Linked DNA regions of Saccharomyces cerevisiae S288C. The gene in region 4 interacts genetically with the main gene of each other region. Each region holds a gene or a part of one and is shown on either strand. Other genes may lie near its edges.

Evidence for each region.
Region 1: mutations in YKU70 (region 4) and PMR1 together harm fitness more than expected from each alone (negative genetic interaction), as found in Saccharomyces cerevisiae (2 studies listed by BioGRID).
Region 2: mutations in YKU70 (region 4) and HUR1 together harm fitness more than expected from each alone (negative genetic interaction), as found in Saccharomyces cerevisiae (4 studies listed by BioGRID).
Region 3: mutations in YKU70 (region 4) and PIN4 impair growth when combined (synthetic growth defect), as found in Saccharomyces cerevisiae (3 studies listed by BioGRID, with this or other methods).

What each region holds. Positions count from the first base shown.
Region 1 is NC_001139.9:187,116-196,367, forward strand, and holds PMR1 (Ca(2+)/Mn(2+)-transporting P-type ATPase PMR1), read right to left. Parts: upstream 3,354-9,252; coding exon 501-3,353; downstream 1-500. Other genes in the region: SUA5 (threonylcarbamoyladenylate synthase), read left to right, coding at 1-224; HUR1 (Hur1p), read left to right, coding at 349-681; CUP2 (Cup2p), read left to right, coding at 4,014-4,691; YRB30 (Yrb30p), read right to left, coding at 4,863-6,185; DNA-dependent ATPase RAD54, read right to left, coding at 6,592-9,252. UniProt on the Saccharomyces cerevisiae protein: This magnesium-dependent enzyme catalyzes the hydrolysis of ATP coupled with the transport of calcium. Has a role in the secretory pathway.
Region 2 is NC_001139.9:183,217-188,296, forward strand, and holds HUR1 (Hur1p), read left to right. Parts: upstream 1-4,247; coding exon 4,248-4,580; downstream 4,581-5,080. Other genes in the region: RNA-dependent ATPase ROK1, read left to right, coding at 1-868; SPO74 (Spo74p), read right to left, coding at 937-2,178; SUA5 (threonylcarbamoyladenylate synthase), read left to right, coding at 2,843-4,123; Ca(2+)/Mn(2+)-transporting P-type ATPase PMR1, read right to left, coding at 4,400-5,080.
Region 3 is NC_001134.8:118,251-126,547, forward strand, and holds PIN4 (Pin4p), read right to left. Parts: upstream 6,510-8,297; coding exon 4,503-6,509; downstream 1-4,502. Other genes in the region: TOD6 (Tod6p), read left to right, coding at 1-916; SAS3 (histone acetyltransferase), read right to left, coding at 1,129-3,624; alpha-soluble NSF attachment protein SEC17, read left to right, coding at 6,875-6,904, 7,021-7,869. UniProt on the Saccharomyces cerevisiae protein: Involved in normal G2/M phase transition of the mitotic cell cycle. In association with RAD53, also involved in checkpoint control in response to DNA damage.
Region 4 is NC_001145.3:834,218-842,481, reverse strand, and holds YKU70 (ATP-dependent DNA helicase YKU70), read right to left. Parts: upstream 4,296-8,264; coding exon 2,487-4,295; downstream 1-2,486. Other genes in the region: DSS1 (exoribonuclease II), read left to right, coding at 1-46; mitochondrial 54S ribosomal protein uL30m MRPL33, read right to left, coding at 280-540; NGL2 (RNA exonuclease), read left to right, coding at 791-2,338; RIT1 (tRNA A64-2'-O-ribosylphosphate transferase), read left to right, coding at 5,615-7,156; AEP2 (Aep2p), read left to right, coding at 7,384-8,264. UniProt on the Saccharomyces cerevisiae protein: Single-stranded DNA-dependent ATP-dependent helicase. Involved in non-homologous end joining (NHEJ) DNA double strand break repair. DNA-binding is sequence-independent but has a high affinity to nicks in double-stranded DNA and to the ends of duplex DNA.

The DNA.
Region 1 (9,252 bases), on a different chromosome or scaffold from region 4:
AGATCTTTAATGAACCCGATTTTTCTTCGAAAACTTTCATCATCGAAAGACTTGGCCAATCTGGTGAAGAAATACAGACTAACTTGTTTGCAGCTTTAAGAAAAGTGGATGAAAATGATAAAGTAGACCTAATATTTGTCGAAGGTATAAATGAGGAAGGAGAAGGATTAGCTGTTATGAACAGATTGCGAAAGGCGGCTGCAAATAATTGTATACAGTTTTAAATAAAACTGTGATTAACTTTTGAAAATCATAACCACTGATTACGGAGATTTTATATCTAGTCCGGAAAAAGAAGGAAAGAATAAAATTTTATATTGCTTTGTATATACGAAAAGTCGCCCATACATGTTTATCTTAGTATCCGTTGTAAATATATGTACATATATACATCTACATATGTTCCCATTAATTAGTACATTTACCTCAATAGGGTTGGGCGTCCTCATGAAAGATAAAGGGAAGGAAGGAAAAACGATAAAAGCACAAAATGTGACATATCAAACATTTGAGAAATACGTTGAGTCTTCTTCATTCTTTTTCCTCGTCCACAATTTTCTCAATTCATCAACGATGAAAACGCTACTGCTGATGAGCAATAACAATAGTATATCAGAGATACCAAGTTTCTCAGTTTTAAAGATACTTTGGAAAAATGGTATATATATAGCGCACATTTGACCTAACAGAGACAGTCCAACGGCGTAGTTGAACATTTTGTTCGTGAAAAAGCCGATTTCGAAGATTGACTTTGTGTTATGTCTGCAGGCCAAAGCATTAAACATATCAAAAAAAACAAAACAAGTAAATGTCATAGTAGTATCTCTAGCAGTTACTTTACCATCTTCGGCCATCTCTTTAACAAAAATGTAAACTGTCCCAACGATGATACAGGCCGCGGTGGTTAGTAAACGTTTCATTACATCATGGGTCAAAATTTTATCGGTACGTTTTCTTGGAGGTTTTTTCATAACTTCATGATCAACAGGTTCCACACCTAAGGATTGAGCTGGTGGCCCATCCATTAAAATATTTATCCAAAGAATTTGCATTGCGTTCAGTGGATTGGGTAGTTTAAACGCTGTAGATAGTGCAACTAATGATAGTGCGGCAACAGAAGTAGACAATTGAAAAGTCAGGAAATTCTGAATATTATTAAAGATACCTTTACCCTCTTCAATGGCAGTTAAAATAGTACTGAAGTCATCATCAGTTAAGACCATATCTGAGGCTTCTTTGGCTACATCTGTACCAATTCTACCCATAGAAACACCAATATCTGAAAGTTTCAACGCAGGAGCGTCGTTAACACCATCACCAGTCATTGCTACCACATCACCCCTCTTTCTTAATGCACGAACAATGTTTAACTTATGCTCAGGCGTAGCACGAGCAAAAATATTAACGTGGTCGATGACATTGGCCAGTTGATCATCTGACATTTCATCTAATTTATCACCGGATAAAACGGAAAGCTTTGGATCAATAACTGGAATACCAATTTGTTTTGCAATGTTTACTGCGGTATTCTCAGAATCACCAGTGATCATAATAATATGGACACCACCTTGTAGTAATTGTTCGATGGCAAATTTAACGTTCGGTCTTGGTGGGTCATTCATACCGATTAAACCAGTAAAGGTTAAATCTTTGATTAGGTCTTCGGTTAGAGGAGTTGATGAATCAGACAAAGTTAGTTTAGCAAATCCAAAGACACGCAAACCTTCAGATGCCATAGAATTTGCGCACTCATTTATCGTAGCTTTTTGGGCTTCAGTCAACTTTTCAGTTTTTTTACCCTTTGATTTCAAATAACTTGTGGAGTACTCAAGAATTCTTTCAAATGCACCTTTAACATAAACTGTACACTTATTGTCGACAGGGTTGAGAATCTTGGTTGCCATTAATTTTCTTTTCGAGTTAAATGGAAGTTCCTGAACTTTTTGAACGGTGTTTCTGATATCAGGCATTTCAAAGTTTGCCAATTGCTCTAAAAGAGCTACATCAGTAGGATTTCCCAGAAATATGGCATGTTCTTGAGAGAAAGATGCATTATTACAGAGATTACCGATAGTTAGAGTTTCCCTAACGTCTTCAGTCAAATAGTTTTTCAAATTTCCATTAGAATTTTTAGTCTTCTTATTTTTGTCTAATGAGAGGACGTTTAGCTTATTGGACATACTGTCCAAGCACCAAAGTTTAGATACGGTCATGTGGTTTGAGGTTAGTGTACCTGTTTTGTCGGAGCAGATAACGTTGACAGAGCCTAAAGTTTCGACACTTGGTAACCTTCTCACGATGGCTTTACGCTTGGCCATTCTCAGAACACCCAATGCCAAAGTAACAGTGACAATAATTGGTAACCCTTCTGGAATAGCAGCAACCGCTAAGGATACCGATATTTGGAACATTTCTAACCAAGATCTACCTTGTATGATACCAACTAAACAAATCATACCAATAACTATGAAGCTAACCAGTGACAAGTCCTTTCCCAATTTGTCCATTGTTAACTGCAATGGAGTCTTCGGTTTTTCAATATTATTCATCATTTCAAAAACGGCACCAAAGGATGTGTTTGTACCTGTTCCTACGACGATACCCTTACCATGACCTTCCTTGACTAATGTACCCATATAAGCTATACAAGATCTCTCAGAAATCGGTACAATTGAATTAGGCTGATCGTTAAAGGAAGATTTTTCGATCGTTTGTGAGGTTTTATGTACCGGTTCATTTTCACCAGTTAAATTACTTTCATCGATGGATAAATCGATTGCTTCAATAATTCTAATGTCTGCGGGGATTCTGTCACCTATTCTGAAGTGCACTAAATCACCAGGAACCAAGGTGGAAGCCAGTACATGACTCTCTTGACCACATCTCATTAAGTGACATTCAGCAGGAACCAATTTATTCAACGCTTCTAGAGATTTTTCAGACCTATATTCTTGGACAAAACCGACAGTGACAACTATGAAAATGGCCAGTGTGATACTAACAGCATCATCAATGTTACCCATAAAAAGAGAGACCACTGCGGATCCTATTAAAAGTAGAATCATTCGATCCTCAATGAAATTTGACAAGAACTTCTTGAAAAGACTTTCATCATCTTCTACGGTTATTTCATTGGGGCCATAAAGTGATCTCCTATTGTTGGCCTCGTTAGATGATCGTAAACCACCGTTTTTGTCAGTGTCCAGTTTTTCTAGAGCTTCGTCCACGGATAAAGTACAATACTCTAAAGAAGGGCTTGGTTTCGAAAGGGCCTCTGCTGTGGCATCTAGTATTTCTCTCTCACGGTTTGAGTCCTCGTCAAGAAGACTCGCATTAAATGGATTGTCACTCATAATTATCTTATCTTTTACTTACACTTAAGCTTACGTCTGTGCTGGCCTTGCTTCGTCTTGTCTTGCCCAGTCGTAAGGATATTATTATAGTTACTAGTATTGTTATAAATGGGAATGGAAAGAACGGGGCGAGCAAACACTATTATGATGGTGTAGAAAAAGAGGTTTTTCTATTAAGTGCTTGAAGGAAGGGCTATAGTGTACGATGGCCTAGGGAACAAGATCTCGATATAACGATAGGTAGGGTCCACACTGTTAACAAAAAAAGTACTTCTTTAAATAGAGAATCTTGTCTTGATGTAACAAAATGAAAAAAAAAAAAAATGCAACTAGAATGTAGAATACAAAAGTTTAACGATCGGCTTTGCTGTTAAGTGGTTATCTAGGGATGAGCTGAACGTGCAATTGATACCAACCGATCCTTGCTAGGAACGCAACTCTTTTCACCCACCTTCCACCACTACGATCGTGAAAGAATATTTGCTAAGAAAATCGCCAAAACGAGGCGAAGTCGCCAGGGTGCGCGGGCACGCAGGGTAAGAGCCGCAAGGCCTGGTTCGGTAAGTATTAAGCTGTGGACGAAATAGCAGTAGCCATGGCGATGTAATTTATTAGACGGCGGCTTGATAAAAGAGGACTGATAATCAGTGTATTCACAGAATGGTCGTAATTAACGGGGTCAAATATGCCTGTGAAACGTGTATCAGGGGTCACAGGGCGGCGCAGTGTACTCACACTGATGGTCCGCTACAGATGATCAGACGCAAGGGAAGACCATCGACCACATGTGGCCATTGTAAAGAGCTGAGAAGAACCAAGAACTTCAACCCATCCGGTGGGTGCATGTGTGCCTCTGCACGACGGCCAGCTGTTGGCAGCAAGGAAGATGAAACACGATGTCGTTGTGATGAGGGTGAACCTTGTAAATGTCATACCAAGAGGAAAAGCAGCCGGAAATCAAAGGGAGGGTCATGCCACAGAAGGGCAAATGATGAAGCAGCGCATGTCAATGGTCTCGGTATTGCAGATCTGGACGTTCTTTTGGGCCTAAATGGTCGCTCGTCGGATGTAGACATGACAACCACATTGCCGAGTTTGAAGCCACCTCTGCAAAACGGAGAAATTAAGGCCGACAGCATTGACAATCTTGATTTGGCTTCCCTCGATCCGCTTGAGCAAAGCCCTAGTATATCTATGGAACCTGTTAGTATCAATGAAACAGGAAGCGCATATACAACTACGAACACAGCACTAAACGATATTGACATTCCATTCTCCATCAATGAGTTGAACGAGCTATACAAACAAGTATCTTCGCATAACTCACATTCACAATAATGCATCTGGACATCTATATAAATATACATATACATATATTGGCGGTTGTTTGTTCTCCCGGCAAGCTGGCAGTCGGGCCGAGATTCGGATAAATTTTTCCATTCGTATACATATACATAGATATATACAATTATAAAATTTGTCCAAGGCTGCACAGGATACGTAACCATCCTAAAGTTTTAGGTTTTTTAACTTTTTTTCTGTCTCTTCAATTGTCGAATTGCTTATTCTATCCTTTCTGGAGTTCGTATTTTCATCGTTCAAATATATAGATAACCTTTCATCACTCACTTCCAATATACTTTTCTGATCGTTACTTTGTAAGGACGTCAGCCGAATGATGTACTCCAGTAGTGTGATCGACGAATCCTTGTCCTCCAATTTATTTTCTTCTTCTTCTTCTTCCTTTCGTTCTTCTCCGTCTTTTCCTTCCTCTTCGTCCTCCTCTTCATCTTCCTCTTCATCTTCCTCTATCGCTTCATATCCGCTTACCGCATACCAAGTAATGTCATCGAGTAATCCCTTGTCTCCTTCACTGCTCTCATTTTCTTTGTCATCGCTCCGGTCAATCTTCAATACCAACACTGGAGAATCCTGTTCTTCTAATCGGAGAAGCTTACCGGAAACACTGAAAAACAGCTTCTTAATATGGTTCAGATCTATGGCAAGTTCCTGTGGTGTGTCTTCTTTGTCATCATCCTCATGATATCTACCGTCATTGAAGTCTTGTTCTATTTTCATAAAATAATCATACTTTCTGCCTGTAGAGTTCAATCTATATATCCTTGCTTTTGCACGTTTCATATCCTCTTTCCAAACAATTCCTGATTGCCCATTGTTTTCTGAAGTTAGGTTATAGAAAATAGAGAATAGTGTAACCTCAAATGTAGGCCCCACTTGAACTTTTAGAATCTCCTTGTCACCTGTTCCTTTCTCATTACTCTTCATTGCCTTTTCATACTTTCTATTGTTCTCGCTAACGAAATCGGAGGCTTTTAATAATAAACCAGGAGAAAGTTGATATGGGAGTGCGCTGTTCAAGTTGGCACCAGAAGTGGTTAAAGAAAGATTAATGAATGGAGTGATTTCTTCGATCCTCAATAGCAAGTCCTTTATATAGTTTTCTACCGCTTTAATAGCTTCATTCTGTGTTTTTGCGCTCCTGGAACCCTCAACTTTCTGCGTCATTTCGTTGATCTTCTCATCAAACCTATCAATCTCTTCTTTTAAATCCTTGGTTAACCTCAGAGTGATTTGCAAATTCGTGTTTCCCCTCGCCGCTACCAGCTTTATTAGGTCAATTGCACTGGATACAATAGCCATGCGGCTTTCCAGTTTAAATTTCAGTTGATCTATTCTTCTAGCATCATCCTTAGGAATCTGGACGACAAAGTTCGTTATTGTCTTTAGCGCATATGTGGATGCTATCGATATTCCGGATTTTATAGCAAATGTAACGGCTTGTGAACCTGCTTTGGCAAGAATTTCATCCATTCTCTTCAGATATTGGTGTTAGGTAATAGTTAAAGTTAATCCTTCTGAGAGTGTGAAACTGTATCAGATTTTTATTTCCCTGACAGCGTGAGATTTTCTTGCCATAATCTTTTTTGGCAGTTTCGGCTGGCACTTTACCACGATAAAACTGAAGATAATGAAAAATTTAAAAGCTAGCACAAGTATAATATGACATCGCTCAACTTTTTTTACCCTTAAGTTATACGATTATACTTTTTTGATTGAAATACATAGAGATATTTACCAATTTGGCCCCAATTTTCAATTGTTTATTACGTCTAAATATATATAACCATGCCCATCATTTAAAATAAATATGTAATGACCCCCCGACGATCGAATTCTACTTTTTGTTTTTGTTTTATAAGTACATGTATGTAAGAGATCAATGTGAAATATATTGAAATGCAAAACTGATATCATTGTAATGATGCTCGTTTTTTAGTAGATGATCATTTGTTTTTTCCAATGCGTCATGGTTCAAATGATTCCAAGTTGTCGCATCACCATATAACATTGCAGGGGCTCTCTTTAATTGTTTACCCTGAGCATTACAACGTTTACAATGGTATGTTTCGTGTGTTTCACATATCGTATTCTCATTTTTTTGAAACAACTGTCTTAAATTGTCAGAACTAAACAACCTTTCAACGTCTTCTTTCGCATCGACCACGCATGAACTCAAACTCATTTTCATAGATTGTCTTTGAAAGATTTTTTCCTCTATGGTACCAGTCGATATGAATCTGTAAATGAAACAATCCTTTTTTTGACCGTCTCTCCAAACACGTGCCAAAGCTTGTTGATCAGCAGCAGGATTCCAATCCGGATCCATCAAAATTAATCGATTTGCACCAATCAAATTGATACCACACCCACCTGCTTTAGAACTTAAGAGGAAGATGAACTCTTGGCCTTCAGGATCGTTGAACCTATCCACCAATTTTTGTCTTTTGTTAATTGACATTGTACCATCCAACCGTACAGCACTGTAGTGCTTATATCTACACATTTTTTCAATGAGGTCCAAGGTTTGGGTATAGTTGGAGATCAAAACAATCTTATCATCGGATTCGGTCTTTATCTTATGGAGAAATCTTTCCAAAATGGAAAATTTAGCTGAATATTTTGTTTGTACGTCCCTGGCTTTTGAACCCGGCATATTATAATCGTCAGGTAGTTCCAAATCATCTTCATCGTCAAATTCATCTTCAAAATTCAAGAGATTAGGGTGATTACATAGCTTCTTTAAAATACCAATAGCCCTCAGGGGCTGAGACCCACCAACACCTTTTACTACTTTTTTCACTTCTCTTGACTTAATTAATTTATTGTAGAGCTCGTTCTGCAACGGCTTCAAGTTTACGAAAATAACGTGCTCATACTTGCAAGGCAAATATTTGGCCAAAATATCGTTAGTACGACGGATAATAAATTTGGAGACAATGGTAGATAGCTTCTGTAATTGCGCCTCGCCCTTTGTGATTTCTTTATCAGTAGCATCAGCATCACGCCCTCGCAAAATTGGATTCTCAAAATTTTTCCTAAATTCTGCTCTGGAACCTAATAAGCCAGGATTCGAAAAACTCAGTAGAGCAAAATATTCGGAAAGATCGTTTTGAATGGGTGTACCAGATAATATAACTCTTCTAGGACAACTGATGCTATCCAAAGCTGTGAATGTTAAAGAGTCACCGTTTTTCAAACGGTGCCCTTCATCTGCCAGCATTAAACCCACATTGCAGTTTTTCAATTGATCAACATTTCGACGTAATGTTTCATACGATATGATTAAAACGGGCTTAACAATATTTCTTCCCTGTGCCTGAGCCCAGGCATGAATAGCTTGCGAAACTGTTGTATTACCACCACCCATTGAAGATTTTTTCCCATCAACCGCTAACGGAGTTAGAGTATTGGGACCCAACCATTTTATCAATTCATTAGCCCAGTTGTTGACTAAAGAAGATGGACAAACAATGATACATTTGTCGATAAGTCTTTTACCCTGCGGGCCCTGTCTTAATAATGTCCACATAAGTGCTATACACTGCAATGTCTTACCCAGCCCCATTTCATCGGCCATGATGCAGCCGTAGGCCCCTCTATTGTTTTGTTCAGTCTTTTGAGATTCAGTAAGTGCCTTCTCGTCGCTCTTTAAGGGATCTTCGCTTGAAGTGTTGAACGCCTCAGCTTCTAAGTAATCTTTCATGACAAGCCCTGTGACACAACGGTATAAGAATCTCACCCCTTCGACTTGATGGGGTCTTAAAATCTTGGCCAGTTTTGGATCAATAACCACAGGGACACTAGCAAATTTCTTCTTGTTTTCCGCAGAGTTTTCCGAATCACCGAGTAGCTCACGTAACGGTTTGTTTCTCACACCATTTGTCATCAAAGCTGGATGGCGTCCTATTCTTTGTGTGGGTCTTTCTTCCTGGCTATTCTTTTCCTTGTTAATATTATCCTTTTCCTGTGTGCTTTTGATCATTTTCTTTGATTCTTCTTCCTTGTTATCCATAGATGTGTCATGGACAATCATTTCACCGTCAACGGACGGGTCATAAAGCACTATGGCAAATTCGTCTGTAGGGTCATGTAGAGGTCGAGGTTCTGGAGTAATTTTTTTTTTCATTCCTAACGTTAATGGCAGACTGTGTCTTTGTACATATCCCTTGATTGGCACAGTGAAAGATCTTCTCAAAGTGTACTGGATATGACTCAGTCTTGTCGGATCCTTGGCCAACCTTTGAGCACTAAGAGCATCCTTCCGTCGTTTAGTCAACTGAGAAAAACTTATGTCTTGGCTGTTGTACTCTGCTTCGTCCGCATTTATATCCAAGCCGGAATAACATACAGTCGCTGATCTTTTCCTCAAGCTCCTTCCTCCTACGATATTATCAGACCCGGTGGCGATTCTACCAGCAGCGGGCGGGATGTGCGTGTTCTTGTACGGGACCCTGAACGGTTTCGTTAGTCGGTTCACCGAGTCTTGTACGTTAATAGGCCTAGGTACCAGTCTCGGCCGTTCACCGGCTCCTATTCC
Region 2 (5,080 bases), on a different chromosome or scaffold from region 4:
TTTGATATTTGATGAAGCTGATAAATTGTTTGACAAAACATTCGTTGAACAGAGTGACGATATTTTGAGCGCCTGTAGAGAGCCATCGTTGCGTAAAGCGATGTTTTCTGCGACCATTCCATCCAATGTAGAAGAGATTGCACAAAGTATAATGATGGATCCTGTTAGAGTTATTATTGGCCACAAGGAAGCAGCAAATACAAATATTGAACAAAAATTAATATTTTGTGGTAATGAAGAGGGTAAACTAATTGCTATTAGACAACTCGTTCAAGAGGGTGAGTTCAAGCCACCGATCATAATATTTTTAGAGTCTATTACAAGAGCAAAAGCGTTATATCATGAATTGATGTACGATAGGATTAACGTAGATGTGATTCATGCAGAAAGAACAGCCTTACAAAGAGACAGGATTATTGAACGATTTAAAACTGGTGAATTATGGTGTTTGATCTGTACCGACGTTTTAGCTCGTGGTATTGACTTCAAAGGTGTCAATCTGGTCATCAATTATGACGTTCCAGGATCGTCTCAGGCTTATGTTCACAGAATTGGTAGAACAGGTAGAGGTGGGCGGTCAGGTAAAGCTATCACATTCTATACTAAACAAGACTCAGTAGCTATTAAACCAATAATAAATGTCATGAAACAAAGTGGTTGTGAAGTATCTGAGTGGATGGATAAAATGGCTAAAATGACCAGAAAGGAGAAAGAAAGTATAAAAAACGGTAAAGCGCATAAAGAAAGAAAGCAGATTACTACTGTGCCTAAGATGGATAAGGCCAAAAGAAGACGTCAACAAGAAATGATTGCAGCATCCAAAAGAAGAAAAAATGAAGAACTTTCAAAAAAACATTTCTCGAAATAATATAAACAAACGTGCGTATGCAAGACATGTATATATGATTAGTAGTTTTTTTTATTTACTTTCATTGATCAATTACGTGACCAGCTATACATTTCTTCATTACTTCTTCTGGGCATTCTATTTAAATCGATATTTCCAAACGACTTTGTCATTGCTGCATAACCCTTTTGATAACTATCGTTTAACCCCACACCTCTGTAAGATTTCGATTCCACTCCATTATGTATATTTCTTCCAGAGTTAAAATGCTGCTTGTAATCTGAATTTTTTCTCTGGAATAGAAGTTCATTTTGATTTTCAAATGACATAAAAGGTTTTGTTTGATGTATATTGTTAGGGTGGAAAAAATAGGGTGTTCCACCAGTTATGGAGTTTTGTAGTTCTGCTTTTTCTCCCCAAAAATTTGATGTATTGGACGTGAAATCATAGGTTTCCTCGAAAGACTTTCCGTTTCTTTTCAATCCTAATGGGGGAGAAGGGCGGTTATCTATTGGCAAAAGTGGATTTCTAAAATCCCTAATGGAAGGTAAATTTTGACTTTCAGGTTGATTGGAGAATCTACGAACTGCTAGCTCTCTATTTAGCAAAGAGTTTTCTTGCATATGAAAGAAGTTTAAATCATTCAAAAGTTCCCCCAAAATTTTGAGCTCATATTCTTCATCCAAGTCAATATCTCTGTATTCCAAGAATTTCTTTTGCATTTGAACTGCGTCGTCAAAAAATGGAACACTTGACAAGCAAATGTCAATCTCTTTTTTAATGTATGTAAGCAAGTTGGTTTTTAGAAAACTCACCTCTAATTGTGTTTTGGTAAACGCTGTTGTGGCAGCTGAATACTCGGTTGGAGCTGAATTTGGCCTCTGTCCCTTGTATGGTGAAGTGGAAATATTCAATTCCATGACCGGTTCCTTTATTTCTTCTAATCCGCTTGTAAAATGAAAGGGCTGCATGTGTTTAGTTTTGTAACCTTCTGTATTACACCAAAAACTTTCCCAATTTTTAAATTGACACTCTTTCAAGCTTGGACTAGAGTCCGGAGCCAGTTTTAAGCCATCATTAAAATCGTCCGTGTGTTCAGATCTTTCGTGTATATCTTTATTTTCATGGAATATGTTGCTTGCAGTCCCCATTTTAGATGACTTTTCTTCATCTTTTTGGGACTTCTGTTTTACTGGACTATTTCTTTTACTTTCCTTACTAGTATTGCCATCTTCTTGAGAATCCATGTTAGGATACGCAGGCAAATCTGAATGGATGTTATTTGGAAAGTTTTCCTTTTCTAATCCATTTAAAAGAGTGCCAGCTCCCATCACTCAACCAATTCAGCTCTTTCCTTGCCAATACAACATAACCGGGAAGAGTTTCAAGTTTGACTTCCAACTAAATACCTAATGTTTTATTGTTGTTATTTATATTTCTTGTGACACAAAAGAGAACATTGATGTCATTTGAGCCTTATCGTTGGAAAGGATAAATAAGCGGTTTAAAAGGATAAAAGAAGCGCAAGCAACAAATCTCAACACAAGTGTAAACCATATGAATGGGGTTAAATGCCTTCTTCTTTGAGATATAAAAAGGAAGTAGAATTTAATATATTAGACATTTTTTTGATTTGAGCCTAAAAAAGATAGCCCTGTAGGGGGCTCGAACCCCTAACCTTATGATTAAGAGTCATACGCGCTACCGATTGCGCCAACAAGGCTATTTCGTTGAAAAATTCAGGCTTCAAAATTATTATATGTATCAAAAATATTTTTTTGAGAAATTTCAAATCATTATCTACGCTAGCCTTACTATTTTTTCACCCAGAAGATAGTAACCTCATCGCACATACCTATTGAAGCTGATAATATTTGAAGCGAGAGCTTTATTCTTCTCCTCAAATTTTTTTTTTCTTCTGCGCTGTTAACTTACCACTAAACCTGTTTCCATTTTTAATGGTAGTCCTGTTTATTATTCCATTTTTAGAATTGTATGTACCTTGGACGACATTTTTTGGCAATGACATCGAAAGCACTGTTTGATACCAAGATCTTAAAAGTTAACCCGCTATCAATCATTTTCTCCCCTGATGCGCATATAGATGGTTCCTTACCAACGATAACAGATCCTGAAACGGAAGCAGCGCTAGTTGAAGCGGCGAGGATAATAAGAGATACAGATGAGACTGTGGCTTTTCCAACCGAAACTGTTTATGGTCTTGGAGGTTCTGCTTTAAATGATAATTCAGTGCTTAGTATATACAGGGCCAAAAATAGGCCTAGTGACAATCCTTTGATTACACATGTTTCATCCATTGATCAACTTAACAGAAAGGTCTTTAATCAACCGCATCTATCAGGTACATCCTTGTTTGATAACATACCCTCAATCTATCGCCCATTAATTTCAAGCCTTTGGCCTGGCCCATTAACAATTCTTTTGCCAGTTCCATCTTCAGAGCATAGTGCATTATCAAAGTTAACGACCGCAGATCAGCCTACGTTTGCGGTACGCATACCCGCTAATCCAGTGGCTAGAGCACTGATTGCCCTGAGCGATACACCAATAGCTGCTCCTTCAGCGAATGCGTCTACTAGGCCATCTCCTACTTTAGCGTCTCATGTTTATCATGATCTAAAGGATAAAATTCCCATAATTCTTGATGGCGGAGCGTGCAAGGTTGGTGTAGAAAGTACTGTTGTTGATGGGTTATGTAATCCTCCTACGCTACTGCGACCTGGCGGTTTTACATATGAAGAAATTGTTAAATTGGGTGGTGAAGCTTGGTCTCTTTGTAAAGTTGAGAATAAGAAAACAGTTGAAAAGGGCGAAAAGGTAAGAACGCCTGGTATGAAGTATAGACACTATTCCCCTTCAGCTAAAGTTGTTTTACTAGTTCCTCATTGCGAAGGCGATGGCATTCTTAAGGGCGTTGATAGGATGGAAAGATTAAAGAGGTTAATCGAAACGGAATTAAAAGCCAACAGTAATATAAAAAAAATTGCGATTTTAACTTCCCTAAAATTACGTGATTCCGACTTACAATCTAAGATCTTTAATGAACCCGATTTTTCTTCGAAAACTTTCATCATCGAAAGACTTGGCCAATCTGGTGAAGAAATACAGACTAACTTGTTTGCAGCTTTAAGAAAAGTGGATGAAAATGATAAAGTAGACCTAATATTTGTCGAAGGTATAAATGAGGAAGGAGAAGGATTAGCTGTTATGAACAGATTGCGAAAGGCGGCTGCAAATAATTGTATACAGTTTTAAATAAAACTGTGATTAACTTTTGAAAATCATAACCACTGATTACGGAGATTTTATATCTAGTCCGGAAAAAGAAGGAAAGAATAAAATTTTATATTGCTTTGTATATACGAAAAGTCGCCCATACATGTTTATCTTAGTATCCGTTGTAAATATATGTACATATATACATCTACATATGTTCCCATTAATTAGTACATTTACCTCAATAGGGTTGGGCGTCCTCATGAAAGATAAAGGGAAGGAAGGAAAAACGATAAAAGCACAAAATGTGACATATCAAACATTTGAGAAATACGTTGAGTCTTCTTCATTCTTTTTCCTCGTCCACAATTTTCTCAATTCATCAACGATGAAAACGCTACTGCTGATGAGCAATAACAATAGTATATCAGAGATACCAAGTTTCTCAGTTTTAAAGATACTTTGGAAAAATGGTATATATATAGCGCACATTTGACCTAACAGAGACAGTCCAACGGCGTAGTTGAACATTTTGTTCGTGAAAAAGCCGATTTCGAAGATTGACTTTGTGTTATGTCTGCAGGCCAAAGCATTAAACATATCAAAAAAAACAAAACAAGTAAATGTCATAGTAGTATCTCTAGCAGTTACTTTACCATCTTCGGCCATCTCTTTAACAAAAATGTAAACTGTCCCAACGATGATACAGGCCGCGGTGGTTAGTAAACGTTTCATTACATCATGGGTCAAAATTTTATCGGTACGTTTTCTTGGAGGTTTTTTCATAACTTCATGATCAACAGGTTCCACACCTAAGGATTGAGCTGGTGGCCCATCCATTAAAATATTTATCCAAAGAATTTGCATTGCGTTCAGTGGATTGGGTAGTTTAAACGCTGTAGATAGTGCAACTAATGATAGTGCGGCAACAGAAGTAGACAATTGAAAAGTCAGGAAATTCTGAATATTATTAAAGATACCTTTACCCTCTTCAAT
Region 3 (8,297 bases), on a different chromosome or scaffold from region 4:
GCCAAGGTCCTTCTCTCATTCTATAACAACCAACACGCCTAATGTAAAGACTGCTCAGCAGACAAATCTAAGCCTTTATAACACTACTTCAGCAAAGACAAATAAAGCTGTTAATTCCAATGATTATGAGAATATTGGTCTTGTGCCTAAAATTATTATCAGGTCTAGAAGGAACTCCTTTATTCCTTCAACTCAAATCCCTCATTCAACGACGAAGACTAGGAAAAACTCGCATTCCGTAATTTCTTCTAGAAGATCATCTTTTAACATGATGCATTCAAGAAGATCATCCTTCAACTCTCACGCTCCTACGGAGCCTATTTCTAGAAGAGCTTCCTTGGTAGTTAGCCCGTATATGTCACCCAGAAGGTTATCTACATCGCAATCCGTTCATTATCATCCACAGCACCAATACTATCTTAACCCCATAGCGTCTCCCAACTGCAAGACAGACCACGCAAATGACAAAATCACGCACACGAGGACTTTCTTAGATATGCAAAAATTCGCTAATAAACACCCGTGGTCTAGAGAAGATGATGAAGTGCTACTTAACAATACGAAGGACAAACAAAACCATTTGTCGCCGCTAGAAATTTCTATTGTTCTGCCTAATAATAGATCCGAGTTGGAAATCCAACAAAGAATGGATTATTTAAAGAGAAAAGGACGTGTAAGTGGTTTTCATACAAATGAAGGATGCAAAGACGAGGAGGAGGAGGATGACATTGACCCACTGCACAAGGAGAATGGCATTAACACGCCATCGCAGCAATCGCAAAATTACGGTATGTTAGAGGCTAAACATGATAATCCAAAGTCTAGTGAGCTTTCTTCTATGACCAGCGCAAATGACATACGCAATGAGCAAGATGAACTTCCAGGTATAAATTCTATCTTTAAAAATATATTTTAAGCTAAGAGACGAATTTAGTTTGTTTTGACTATTCGTTTAATGAGTACAAATTAATCGCACCCACACATGTACACACACACATATATATCTTTATATATACACATAAAATTTATTCGTAGGAGAATTCTGTAATACTATTGACTACAAGGGTTCTTATTGCTATTAATAATGTTACATGTATATGCTTATATCCAATATATACCCATCGCCGCTTATTCTTCGTCATCCTCTATTAGAGTTATTTTTCTTCTTTTTCTGACTCTCTCCTTCCTTATGTGGCTTTCTATATCGTTTTCATCCTGCTCTTGTCCTTTTCTCTTCCCATCCTCATCATCATCACTGTCTTCTTCATATGTGTCTTCCTCCTCATCATTTTCTTCTGATATTTGCTCATCCTCAATGTCATCATCAAGGGTAAAGTCTTCGTCTTCGTCTTCATCTTCTTTGGCGTTTTCACCTACATATAATTCAGTATCTACATCGTTTTCTACTTCATCCTGCTCTAAACTTGATATTCCAGTATCGTTTCTCCTAGCTGCATGATTTCCAAGTGGTGTTTCGGAGTTTTTAATAGTGAAGCAGAGCTCCCAATGAGTTTCTGTACTAAATTTTGATCTTGGTATCCCTTTGCGATCATGGATGCTTTCCAGCACTCTTTTTTCCGCTTGATAGATTAATCTATCATTATTTGTGTTCTTATAATCACACATATACTCTGTTAAGGAGGAAACAGTGTCTTCAAAAAAATCAGTAGCAGGTACTTCCGGTTCTATGATATTGTTTACATGAAGCTTGGATGTTTTGTGCTCACTACTTCTTCTTCTTCTTCTTCTGCGTTTATTATGTGCTCTACTGTTGTTATAGTTTTCTATATGTGTGTTATTCGAAATTACCGGAGCCATAGTTTCATTTGTAAGAGCTTCGTCCGCTAATGCGGTGGGTTCTAAGTTCATCATCCCATTTATACCAAATGACGGCCCTAATATAATAGGTTCCCACAATAGTTTGTCATATTTGACGCGAGGATAGTTTTTTGAGCTCCAAGTTTTGTAAATATTTTCAATCCTGTTCCAAGAATCGATTTTAATAATATAGTTGAAATCATCCAAACTGGATAATGAGCGTGTTTTATGGCGATACAAAACTTGAAGTTGTTCCAATCCAAACACAACGTCTGTTGGTATCATTCCTGTTAGTTTAGCGATATCGTTTAGGCTAACCTGCTGAAAAGTATCTTCATTTTTATTATTTGATCGACGTCTAGCACTGTCTCTTAATTTTAATAGCACTTCAGCACATTTTATCTTCCAAAACGTTCTGTAAGTCAATAATCCTAAATCCGACAATGGTTTTTCAGGAGTTCCAAATTTTGACTCCTTTCTGGATAATAAATATGAAAATTCCATCAAAAACTGACCATATCCTTTCCTCTGGTATATGGGTAGAGTTAAAATACAACTTAGGTTATAGTCATTGGAGTTGAATTTTTCCTTGGAGAAATAGCCTACGAAATGGAATTTGGCTGCGTTTTGATAGGGATGGTTCTCTGTATCCTCTCTCTCCGTTAGAATATAGAATATAAACGGTTCAACATCGTAATACAAAGTCTTAGAATTGATAAAACATTTTGCCAACAGGCAAAGATTTTGACAATACAAGACATTCTCCCGCCCATCAATTTCCCAAACAGACAGCTTACCGTCGCGATAAATTTCATTTCCGGGGGGCTTAAAAGTTAGACACTTTAGTTGGTGTCTATAAAAAGTATATCGAGAAGTCATATATTTTAGGCAGAACTCACATATAAAAACCATTTTATTTTGGTTGATGTGTTCCGGAAAAGGAGATGTATACCAAGGTTTAATTTCATAATTTCGAAGAACAATGTATTCTATCTGGGAAAACCACACTTTATTTTTGATTCTTGGTACTTTCCCTTTCCTTTTTTTCCTATCTTCGTTTTCTTGATCGGTTTCATTATGATTGCAAAGTGATACGTTACCATTAATGTACGTTGCAGACTTAGAGTTTTCTAAAAATGTAAGAAACTTTATTTTATCTTCCCAGGTGGGTAAAGTTCTTTTTGTACTGAAATCTTTCATTTTTTTTATTGTTCCGCCGTATGGTACGTACCATTGCCAAGAATCGTTATCCCTGAATGGCGTATTATCAGAAGAATATGGGTACTCCATGTTTTCGGTTGCTAGATCCCATGTTTGCTTTAACCTGTTAACTCTTCTTTGAAACCCGATTAGAGGACCGGATGATGTTATATTTTTGTTAACTAAAGGTGCTATGACTGAAGATTTAGATATTAGTCTTTCAAAATTGAAAAATTTGATAGAATCATACTTAATTCTAACCTTCAACTCCTCGCTGACTTCAATATTAGGTTCAATAATGGGGAAACTTACTGCTCCCATCTTATTGTCCCTATTAACGATATTTTGAGAAGAATTTTCTGACGCAAGTTTGGACTGCTGGGAAATCAACCCTTTTTTTATTTTATTAAGGCCTTTATCAGACCGAACACTTCCTCTTATTCGATGTGATATACTGGCATCGGAGTTGAATAGTCGTCTTGTAGTTCTATGTCCATTTGTATCGCTTCTGACAAATTGAGAATGTATCAGATCATCGATCTCTAAGTTTTTCAATAATGCATTTTTTTTGGGTTTTGGCGATTCGTCGTTTGCTGTTAATGACATTATCTGCAAATTATACGGAGACTAATTAATGAAGAAGGAAGAAGAGAGAGGGCGGTATGAATAACACCTATGAGAAAAGAATAGCAATGCTTTTCCTTTTTTACCTTTTATATTCGTTCTTTCTTCTTTTGCCTCTTTTAATATGCTTTGTTTCTGTGCTATTTTCCCGACTCTTTATTTCAAACAATGAAGCCCCCAATTAATCAAGAACCACCAAAATAGCATGTCAGTTGAACACTCAACGACTAAAAAAACGAATAATTTCTTGTTCAATTGGCCTGAACGTTTGACTATGAAACTTTCTGCTCTTCTCTGATCATTGTAAACAAAGAAATGTCAATAAATTATTGTTACCCGACTTTCTATATACTACAAATACCGCCAATGATGCAGTGAGCAAGATATCAATTAATGCAAAAACAATATCGAGTAAGGTAGAAACATCTCTGTGATTAAACATCGTACATATAAATACCATATATAAAAGTATGTGGGAAAAGAACGTTCAAAAAAAAAAAGTAAGTAGTAGGTTAAAAATAAAATCTCAAAAGAGGGAAAAAAAAAAAAGAGGGATAATTTTGGCTTGATTACATTGCGTTACTTAAAGTAGCCTCATCATTCATTCATTATCATCGTTTCATCGACATTAGGTGACGTTTCTCAGTAAAAATTAACTTCATCATGATCATTAATTTCATATTCATATTCGGTTATTTTTTTTTTTTTTTATATTTTTTTTCAATGGTGTTTTTGATGGTTTTTATTATATATATATATTTTTTTATCTTTTATCTTGTGTAAGCACCCCTCATTACTTGTATCGTGCGATATACAAATACCAAACAAACTCTATAATCATAGAATAATGGAAGTATATATTACCATAGATTCTTCTTGTTTTGGTTTTGTAAATCCAGTCCGCTTAAAGAACGATTCAAGCCCTGTTCCAAGCCATCATCTAGTCCAGAGTGACTCAAAGATTTATAGATCAAGTCGGCACTATTCAAATTGTGTGCGGACAACATGGACTCATCGTGATAAGACTGATATGAGAAATTAGAATGTACTGAGCCATTTGTGTGCTGTGGAAGCAGTTGGGACTGTGAGTTTGCTGAAGATGGGCCGTTAAGGTTGTACAACTGCTGGGAAGACAATGAAGCATTTTGGTATGCCACTGGTACCCGTTGTTGAGTTTGGGACTGTGCTGGTGGTTGCGCTTGGGATAGGGTTTGGCTGTTGATTGGGATTTGTGAATTTGGAGGTGAAATTTGAGAATTTCTCAGTAAGGGATTAACGGAATTGATTTGATAATGGTTGGCAGAATAACCGGATGGAATTCTTGAGGATGGTGTTAAAGTAGCTTGTTGTCTTAAAAAAGATTGTTGTTGTTGCGCAGCTGACTGAACATTTTGCTGTGTTTGTGGTTGAGGTTGTTGCGGTTGGTCTGCGGAATTGTATTGAGAACTATGGTGTATGTTCATTTTAGGTGAGGTTAGTGTTGGTTGCATGGAGAATTGTCCCTGTGAAGAAATTTTTGGTGTTGAGCTGGCGCTATTGTTATTAATGATGACATTGTTACCGTTACCGTTATTACTGTTAATAGTATTGCTGTTGGAAGAATTGTTAACGGCCTGATTGCTAATACTATTCGCTGCAGCTGCTGCATGGGCCTGTAACAAACTTGTATAAGATTGTGACCTATTCATGGAGCCGCCAGTGGAGTTTGGCTGCAAAGGATGAGCAGATGTCATTTGACCTTGTTGTTGCAAATGAGATTGTAAATTAGCATGATCCAGAATCTTTCTTCTGATAATAATAAATCTTGGATCATATACTTCTACTAGCCCTAAGTACGAGCACAAAACATTGATAATTCTCTTGTGGGAAGCGGATATACCCATGGGATAAGCCAACTCGTAATAATACTTTTCTCTATCCTTAAATAACAATAATTGGGAATAAATTTCCAAAGTGTCAGGGTCATTGAAGTCCAGTTGTTGGGGTGGGAGAGGCAAAGTGGAAGTTGATGGTAAAGGCGCATAAAATCTCTCAGTGGACATCTGGGCTTGATTATTAACGTTTGTTTGGTACAACGATGAAGAAGTATGTTGGGCAGAAAGTGAAGGTTGGTTCAGAATGATGTTACCACTATTGTTGTTATTAGAACTGTTATTGTTAATGGTATTATTCATTGGACTGTTCATCATGCTATTAGCATTAATGCCGTTCATTAGAGTCGAGAATAATTGATTGTTAGAAGTATTATTGTTTCCGCTTCCACTCATTTTAGATAAAGAATCCAAAGAAAGATTAGATGACGATCTGTGTTGTTCTTCTAATTGTCCTCTTTTCTCTCTCTTCTCCCTCTCGATTCTTTCTCTTTCAGCTTGGGGAAGCATTTTTTTATATTCCACTTTCAATTTCCTCCCGCTGATTTCCTTTCCATTCAAAGAAGTTATCACTTGAGTAGTTTCTTCAGGAGTGGTGAAATTCGCAAAGGCTAGTCCTCTGAAAATACCGTTATCAAAGTGGTAATTGAAGGCATAAGGAAGGGGAAGATCCATTTCTTCAATAATGTCTAACAATTGCTCTTTTTTAATAGCAAACGGAATGTTTTTAATAACAATAGCATTTGGGATAACATCATCGTCCAAAGCACCATTGGTGGGGGCATTATTCAAATTTGTAGAAGAAACGTTTTGTTCGGCATTTTTTGCAGAGTTCTCACCAGTTTCCGTTTGCACACCGTTTTCTTTGTCAATTGCATCTCTAGTTTCGATAGATTGCTGATTTGTTTCCTGGTCATTAGTCTCCGTATTTATATTATTATCCTGAGCATCATTGATGGCTGCAGGAGGAGCATTCTCAAAAGAACTGGTCTCCATTTCTTATTGTTGTTGAACACGCTTTCCCTAGTCTGTAGCCTGCCTCTATGAGTACTATATCACACTTCTTCTTGCGCTAATCTCCAAAGACCTGCTGGTAATCTCAGCTGAAAGGCTGCCTTTAATTGTTATTCTTTTCCAGGAAAAAATCGCAAAGTTGCAGCATCCGTGTTTCGTGACATCATTGAAGGTTACCCTAATCTATTACCTCGGATTAACTTGAATTAATAAGGACACACAGGTATAGGGAAGGTAAAGTTGAAGTAATGATAAGAAGTGGGCAGCACCGAAGCAGTTTATCTGAACTAACTTCTGTACGACTCGAGAATATAGTAAGAACACCATCATTAACCTGAAAGTTAAAAATGTCAGACCCTGTAGAGTTATTGAAAAGAGTATGTAGTAGGGAAATATATCAAAGGAACAAAATGAAAGCTATGTGATTCCGTAATTTACGAAGGCAAATTACTAACATTGAAATACGGGAATTGATATTTCCCGTTGTGTTAAGGCTGAGAAGAAGGGTGTTCCTTCATCGGGTTTCATGAAATTGTTTAGCGGTTCTGATTCATACAAGTTTGAGGAGGCTGCTGATCTTTGTGTCCAAGCAGCCACCATTTACCGTCTAAGAAAAGAGTTAAACTTGGCAGGAGACTCGTTTTTGAAAGCTGCTGACTATCAGAAAAAGGCTGGTAATGAAGACGAAGCAGGAAATACCTACGTAGAGGCTTATAAATGCTTTAAAAGCGGTGGAAACTCTGTGAACGCCGTGGATTCATTAGAAAATGCTATTCAAATTTTTACTCATAGGGGGCAGTTCCGGAGAGGTGCTAATTTCAAGTTTGAGCTTGGAGAAATTCTAGAAAATGATTTGCATGACTATGCAAAAGCTATAGATTGCTATGAGCTCGCTGGTGAGTGGTATGCCCAAGACCAGTCGGTAGCATTATCGAATAAGTGTTTTATCAAATGCGCAGATCTAAAGGCTCTTGACGGTCAATATATTGAAGCAAGTGATATATATTCGAAGTTGATCAAGAGCAGCATGGGCAATAGATTGAGCCAATGGAGTTTGAAGGATTACTTCCTAAAAAAAGGGCTTTGTCAGCTAGCTGCTACTGATGCAGTCGCTGCTGCAAGAACTTTACAAGAGGGTCAAAGTGAAGATCCGAATTTTGCGGATTCAAGGGAGTCAAATTTCTTGAAAAGTTTAATCGATGCTGTTAATGAAGGTGATAGCGAGCAGCTAAGCGAACACTGTAAGGAGTTTGACAATTTTATGAGACTAGATAAATGGAAAATTACCATTTTGAATAAAATTAAGGAGTCCATCCAGCAACAAGAAGATGATTTGTTATGAACGGCATATACTTACGCGCACATACATATATACATATATATTATAAATGTAACACTTGTTTTACCCGAAACGGCGAAGTAATTGTGTACCGCCGTGCACCTTTTCCTCGAGATAAACATATAGCGATGACTTAGAGAACAAAGTAGTATTAGTATCATATACTTCCAACGTTAATCAAGCGCAATAAACCTTTGTTCGTGTGTTTCAAAGTTATTGCAAGAGCGAAGTTGAAGCCATCTTTTCACGAGAAGTTAGCTGTGGTTCGAGTCTGTCGCACGCCGTGTAATGTAAGGATCTTCCCTTAGCTTTTCTGATCCGGAGCCCTTGAGGGATATTACGCATCGCGTATCTTCATACGATTACTGTACTTTGCTGACTTGCATTCTTGATATTGGGCTATAGTTGGCACTTCGCTCGTTTCTTTTCTT
Region 4 (8,264 bases):
AAAAATTGACTGTTTAGAAGGAATGTTAGAGTTGGAAAAGCTATAAAAAGGGACTCTTTTTCCAAATATAAAATTCAATAGACCATGCATAATTTTCTTCTTGTAAATATATACATACATAAAATATGAAATCGAGATAGTGTATTGATTTCTTTGTATCAAAAATTGCATAAATTACTATTAACATATGTGCCTATGCAGGAAAAAATAATACTATATACATATATAAGTCAGGAATATCAAGAAGAAAGGAAATCCAGTTGCCTTATTTTCGCTGTTTCAGTCGATGGTTCTCTTCTCCACTATAAACCCAGGGTTTGACTTTCTCAACTCTCGTTGCTGCGATGGTGTTAATTCATGTTCTGTTACTTCTACTTTGACTAACTCTTTTACTTTAGCTAGGGAGCCAGCTATGGCCGGGTTTACTTTTTTGTAGACTATGGACCCTCTTTTACCTAAACCCAAACTTTTGACAATGCTCTTCGTTGTGTGTGGCACACCGATAAGCGACCTACTCAACGTGACTTTGTAAAACACCATTCCTGATATCTGCTTTCAACGTGTTTTAGCTGGTCCATCAATATTGATTCCATCACCTAACTTTTGGGATGATATACTTTATCCTTAATATCTAGAAAAGCTCTTCGAGAGATATTTCGTGCAGAAAGACCATTCATTTTTCAAAAAATGGTTGCACTAAAGCAAGAGGAAAGGAAAAGTAGTGTTGCAAGAAGATGAGATTGTAGTCTCCTTATAGCTTCTTAATTGTAGTTAAGAGTATTAAGTAAATATGACACAAGACAAAGAAGTCAAAGTGGTTGCCCCAGATGTTGCGCCCGACCAAGAAGTAGAAATTAATAAATCTGTAAAAGATGCAAAACATCAAACCAATGATGATTCGTTACTTCAACATAAAAAGAAGGGCAAGAAAGGTAAAAAATCGAAGCCCATAGTGACCCCAGAACATATCGCTAAGGTTCGTGCCGAAAGGGAAGTTATGAGAAAGGCTAAAAGAGATGCAATGTTGGCTCAAGGTGTTGATCCGGACTGCCCGCCAGAGCTGCATTTTATCAGAAGACCTTTCCTATCTCTACATGAGGCAGAGCCAGTAACTGGATTTAGATTCAAGCTAATGACTTATAATTGCTTGGCGCAAGCTCTAATCCGCAGAAAGCTGTTCCCGGATAGTGGTGACGCTTTAAAATGGTACAGGCGTTCTAAAGTTCTCTTAAACGAGTTTAAATATTATAATTCCGATGTCATTTGTTTGCAAGAGATTGATCATATTCAGTTTCAAAGCTTTTGGAAAGATGAATTCAGTAAATTGGGATACGATGGACAATATTATAGAAATGCTACAAAAAACCATGGTGTCGCGATAATGTGGAGGAGAGAATTATTTCACCAGGTTGACAAAATGCTAATCGACTATGATAAAGAAAGTTCAGAAAGCATTTCCACTAGAACAACGACAAACAACGTGGGATTAGTCTTAGCCTTGAAGTTTTCTGAGAAAGTACTGTCGAATTTGGGTAAAAAATCGTCTAAAAAATGCGGTATCTTGATCGGCACTACGCATCTATTTTGGCATCCATTTGGTACTTATGAACGAACAAGACAATGCTATATTGTTTTAAAAAAGATGAAGGAATTCATGCATCGTGTGAATGTTTTACAGAACGAAAATGATGGGGATTTATCTCATTGGTTTCCTTTTTTCTGTGGTGATTTTAATTCCCAGCCGTTCGACACACCATATTTATCTATGACATCCAAACCAGTGCACTATAGAAACAGGGCAAAGACCGTCATTGGGTGCAGCACTTCATATAAGTTTTCCAAGGTCCGTGATGGCGAAGAAGGTGCAGATGACGAAGAAGGCGGGAATATTGAAAAATATGGTAAAGATCAACCTGAGAGCCCCGTTCCTGAAAAATTTCATGCTAATGAAGAACAGTCTGAACTCGTAGATAAAATGGCACAACTCCATAACTCATTGGATATGAGGGCTATTTCACTATACTCTGTTGGGTATAAGAATGTTCATCCAGAAAATGCAGGTCTTGATAATGATAGAGGTGAGCCTGAAATTTCAAATTGGGCAAACACTTGGCGTGGTTTATTAGACTATCTATTTTATGTAAAGAAATGGGACCCACAAAGTAATTGTCAGGAAGTGGAAACCCTTGGCGATTTTGAAAAAGAAAATAAAGTTAAATGCAGAGGTTTTTTGAGAATGCCGCCCGGTAATGAAATGACAAAGCATGGACAACCACATGTTGGAGAATATGCAAGTGATCATTTGTCTATGGTGTGTGATTTAGAGTTACAACTATAGATTACTGTCGTGCATAAATATCTTGCTAATAGTTGTACAGTACAACGTTTAGCACGACAAAAGTTCTTAATAATAAATATTACATCAAATACCCTACCCTACCAAATATTGTATGTAACGTTATAGATATGAAGGATTTCAATCGTCTTTATATATTGAATTTCGGCTTTTTATCAAAGGGCTTCTTTTCTTCTTTTATCGAAATGTTATCATCGTTAAATTTTTTGTAGAACATATTCCAGATTTTAACATATTTATTTAGCCTTTGGATGATTGGATCTTCTGACTTCTCAGATTCTAAAATTTTATTTCGTATATAATATAGTTTCCTTAAAGAATCGTCCTCACGCATCATTCTGTCTTTTTTAGTATTAGGTGTCTCATTTTCGTCAAAAGTGGTTTCAATTTGCAACAGGTAATCATGTAAAACTTTGTAATGTTTTTGTAATAGTGGGTTTTTGAAATCGGATGGGTTATATCCATCCCTCAAGTTAAAGTATCCCATTATACTTTGAGTTACTTTTTTCATGTTATCATAATCTAGTTTATGTTCAGAGCCATCATCATAGGATAGTAAACTAGGAAATTTTCGAATTTCGTCTAGGAATGGAACCCTGTAGAGATAAAATCCTTCGTTGTAGTCCTTCACGCTTGAGGGTGATAACGTATATAGTGAAGGATGTGAATTTGATTTAAGCTTCCCCCATAATATTGCAATTTTATCTTTTTTTCTCAAAATTTTTAATAAAGAAGCCAAGGTTCTTATCGAACCTTCATATTTTGCTTCATCTGGTACGATAAACGAACTTTTGTCTATGTTATTGAAATAGTGTATCGATTTGCTCGATGAACGGAACCCAATAATCTTCAAAAACGCATCTTTTTGAGTATAAGCCTCCATTACTATCTGATCTTGACTATCTGATAGATTGATATCGAGGTCACCATAAGGATAAACCTTGACAGTTTTACCAGTAACGTCTTCTCCTGTTATAGGATTTAAAAATTTTCTTTTTGAATATGCTTCTTGTCTGATATCTTCATGCTCATAAACAAGTTTATACCTGACTCCAGCTTTTTCATGGGTATACATAGTGTAACCCTTGACTCCGACTATAAAATTTGTTTTCTCATCCAAGATTAATGGACATTGAAACATTATCCTCTTTACCTCCTTTTTCCTTAGGATTCTGGACTTGATGTATTTAGCATCTATAGGCTTTGTACTTGGACCATCAAATTCAGAATCCAAACCAGTATTCTCATTTGTATGTGAACCCAACTGCAGTATGTCCGAATAAAACTCGTTGTCAAATGGTTTATCGGCATAGCCAATAAAAAAAGTTGCAAAATTCACTTTGTTATCAAATAAATCAATTGTAAGCCTTCTCAATCTTGCCCGTTCATCGATATCTTGCGCCTCTTGTGGTTTATCAATGTCAGTGAATAAGAACACTCTCTTGTTGCTTAATTGCTTTTGACCCGGAATCTCTTCCAAAAAAGTGTCAAGCATGAATGTGAATAATACAGATAAGCGCACTTGCTTTTCACTCCCAGTTTGTTGAAACATAAAATAGTCGTATAGGCTTATTCTCCCCGATGATAAATCTTCTAAAAGATCGTTCAATTTCTTCATAAATGTAGCATTTATATCCCTTAATGGAAAAAGTTCATAGATACCTTCCTTGGCATCCTCTCTGTTACAGTAATAAAAATAGCAACCAATAGCTGTCCCAGGTCTTGTTATGACCAATTGTGACATTAGCTCATCTAGTGATTCCAGAATTTCCAACAATGGTGATTTATACTCTAGATCAGAGGACTCTTTAAACATTGTCTCTGATAGTTCAATGCAAAACAAAATTCCTTCATGGATATCAAACTTCCTATAACCTGTTTCATCCACTTGATCGTTAAGTTCTCCACTATTGCCAAATGCATTAGTGACTGAGCGCATAATATTCCCGTTTTAAAATCAGGCTTAGAGTCACTTAACAAATCATAGCTTTACTGTTGAAAACTAGAACAGTAATACAGAGAATGTCATTTGGTAGCTACCTTAAAGCAATCCCTAATACATGAAATTGAGAATCTTCAAAAATTAAGGTAATCAAAAGTAAAAAAATATCTCCCGGGGGCGAGTCGAACGCCCGATCTCAAGATTTCGTAGTGGTAAATTACAGTCTTGCGCCTTAAACCAACTTGGCTACCGAGAGTCAATTAACTGATAACCATTCAATTATGAGTCCGTCTAATATCATGCTTATTCACAATTTTAATATAAGCAACCTTGCAGAAGTGACCTGTTGTCAAAACGGAATATCAACTTGATTGAGGGGATGATAATTATCCTATATATTCTATAAATATGGATTATACTGAATATTGGGTGAATAATTTGATAATTGTTGGGATTGCATTGTTGATCAAGGCTATATAATATTATGTACACAGAATATATTAGAAGTTCTCCTCGAGGATAGAAATCTCAAAATGGAATCTATATTTCTACATAATAAAATTACGATTATTCCTCATTCCGTTTATATGTTTCATTATCCTATTACATTATCAATCCTTGCACTTCAGCTTCCATTATACTTGATAACTATTTCTCAATCCTTATTTTATGTTTTTCCACCGCATATTATAATATGCCAGTAATATTTATTCTTATTAATGGTCGTTAATTTCACACCAGGCGTGTTTATAACTGAGTAATCACTTTAAATTTGAGCATCCGGTTTTGCACCGTTAATAGTATCATTGTTAATTAGTAGGCAGGTTGTAGTATATTCTAAGAATAAAACAGGTGCCCTTAATCTGTACAAGAGAAGAGTATGAAATATGAATTACATTGGGCATATCGACTATACGCAATATATCAGTAGCTTCGACGATTTAGGTAGGTATAAGGGTTTCCTATACCTGTATACACAAATTTCAAACTTATGGCCGAGCCAGATAGTCCTTTAGCTATGCCTTCCATTACTTCTTGGAAAGCTTGTTGCATTTCCCGTCATATTATGTACGGTTACAACTTTTTTGTTGATTTCCATGCCCGAAGGGAGCTTAGCATAGCCGCTATTACATAATCTTATCATCTTCATCAAAAATGAACTTCTAAAATCATCCCACCACTCTATTGCTCTTCATATATGCGTTGTATGTTTATGTGCTTTGTTCTTATTACTGCTTAACTGTGACTGGGCCCATTATTCATTGTTCATATGCAGGAAAAAAAAAGCATGCTTGAAAATTTTGATCTCTTGATGGATGGTATCGAGGCTATCAAAGAGATATAGATCCAGAGTACAGTTTAGTATATCCGTGATGGATGAAAATATTTATCTTTCGCTATCTCAGATAAATAAAGACATCAGAAAGGAAAACAAGTCCGTAAGGAATCGACTTCAGAGTATTCTTTTAGACAATAAATTTTTGCAAGATCGAGTTATCCCTATATTTCCCCATTATCCACTGATACCCAATGAAAGATGTGGGCTATGGTACTGTAATCCATCAAGTTTCAAACAGACCAGTTACTTTAAGAGCACAGACGGGCATGTCAACCAATGGGACTTTAGCACCCGAAGATTGAACTTTCATTTGTTAGAGACCATTCGAGATAATAAAGGTATTATAATTGTCGATAGTACTAGAAGAGGTAAAAAAATCCCAGATGCTTTGAGTAAGACTGTCCCCATATGGTGTGCTGTATTAAATACGTTAATGCTTCAGGAAACAGAAAAAAATGTTGCCATCGATAAGGTACTGTATCTTCCACCTGAGACAGTTCCCAAATCAGAATATGACATGATTAAGCGAAAAATACCCGAACTAGTTGCTAAACTACAAAAATTGAATATTATAGATTCTAAGAAATTGAACGAACTGTTTATGGGTAAGTTATTGCGGCCCATATGGGTTCACCCTGGTTCTTCACTTCTAGACCATTCTGTTGATTACTTCACGGGTGAAGTACAGGAGTATGAAGCCTGGGAAACACCTGAAGACCAAAACATAATACCCATTATTTTGTGCACGGTAAGCTATCAAGCACAAGATGGTATGGATAAAAGATACGGCTTCACTTATGTGCAGGGTGCAGCCGACGATCACGAGCTCTGGTCTTTTGGTTTGGATTCAAATATGTTTTGGGCCCATATAGAATACCTAGGCGACGCAAGTTATTCAGACGACCAGTTACATGATTACATCATGGATTTGGCTGCTGCAAAGCTGAGAAATCAGTGTTATATACAAGATAAAGGAAGCTTGGATGAAGTCTTTGGAAACATTGATAAAATTACGAATGAGATATCTCTAGGAAAAGTGAGTTCAGGCTTAACCATCAATAAGAATTTGAAACAGAAATTGAAGTCAGAATATGGTAAAGTTATAATTTTCAGTAATTCGGTGACTGTTGCTGAAGATACAGACGATGAAGAAGAAAGTGGGACAGATCCGTTTATTTCAATATACAAGTTGCAAAGCGGAGACAAGAAAAGTTCAAAAGCTTTACGATCCACATTCCCTAGAATCCATGGAGAAATTCAATCGTTGTTTACAAATCGAGATGAAAAAATAAAGCCAATGCTAATATGCTGCAATACAGGTACTGATATGTCAATCGGTGTCATCTTAAGTATCCTTTGTACCAAATATACTGAAGAATGGATGCTTACGTCGGAGTTACCGGACATCAGTAAGCTTATTGTAAGAAAACACTTGACAAAATTGATTTCCCACTTGAAAGGACGCAACGTTAACCCTTCAAGAGCAACACTGAACAGCGTCAATAGCTTTTTAATGTAGTGAGTTAGGCAATACTGAGATGTTTACTCGCAATGTCACTGTATATTTTAATATCAAATAACGTCAGTTTTTATTAGAAAAAGAGCGGGTTACCGTTTATCCTGAACAGAAAAGGTTCATTGAAAAAGAGCCCTTCAGACATTGGCTAATGAAAAGAATATGTAAAATCAAGAACAAATTAACGAAGCTCTCCTTCGTTAACAGTCCACTACCTAAATTTATGATTAATGTGGATAAATAGACTGGTTAAACATCCATCCTACAGTGTTCTGAGGTTTTACACGAAGAGGCTCTGCACTGTATCAGTGAAATCGCTGCGTGAATTTGGTGTACTGCCGAATAGCACAATATGTCATTCTGTCTATCCCCGAAGAACGTATGTAATGGGTAGGGCTGTCATAAATGATATTTTAATCAAAAAATCCTATTCAACTCACACGGTATGTGCAATTGATCGATCAAAAGATGAAAATAATGGGAGCGCTTATGACAAATTCGAGGCAAAAGGTATACCTATAGATGTTCACACATTAAAACGAATTATCAGCTCGAGTGGAATGGATGAATCCGAATTTTCCAAGAGTATAAGTTACTTATTCGCGAAAACCGTGGACCCTGAACCGAAGGATGTTCTGTCTTTAGAGGACCTGTCTTTTCTTTTGAGCAAACTATACACACAACGGTTTCAAATTAGGAGAATCTGTAGAGACATAAACGCTAAATATTCAGAATTTTGGTTCAAACTTTTTTCCTTATATGCAGAAAAAGTTGATGCCAAGAGAAACCAAGTTAACTTACGGAATACGAAACTAGATGCATGTGAAATATTTGATGCAAATCTTATGATCAAGAACTTTATAGAGCTCGGTCAATTAGGTAAGGCTCAAAAAATTTTAAGCTTTATTCTTGATAGAAATCCTGATATATTACTGTCTCCGAAAAATGCAGATATTAGCACAATAGTTCACTTTTTACAACTGCGTTGTGGCGCTTTGGCGCCTTATTGGAAAATACCAGATAATAGTGAGCAAAAACAAGGTTTTTTAAGAAAAATGGTTCGACTAGGTGCGAAAAATACGTCAATTCGTCTTTCTTCTACTTACAAAGC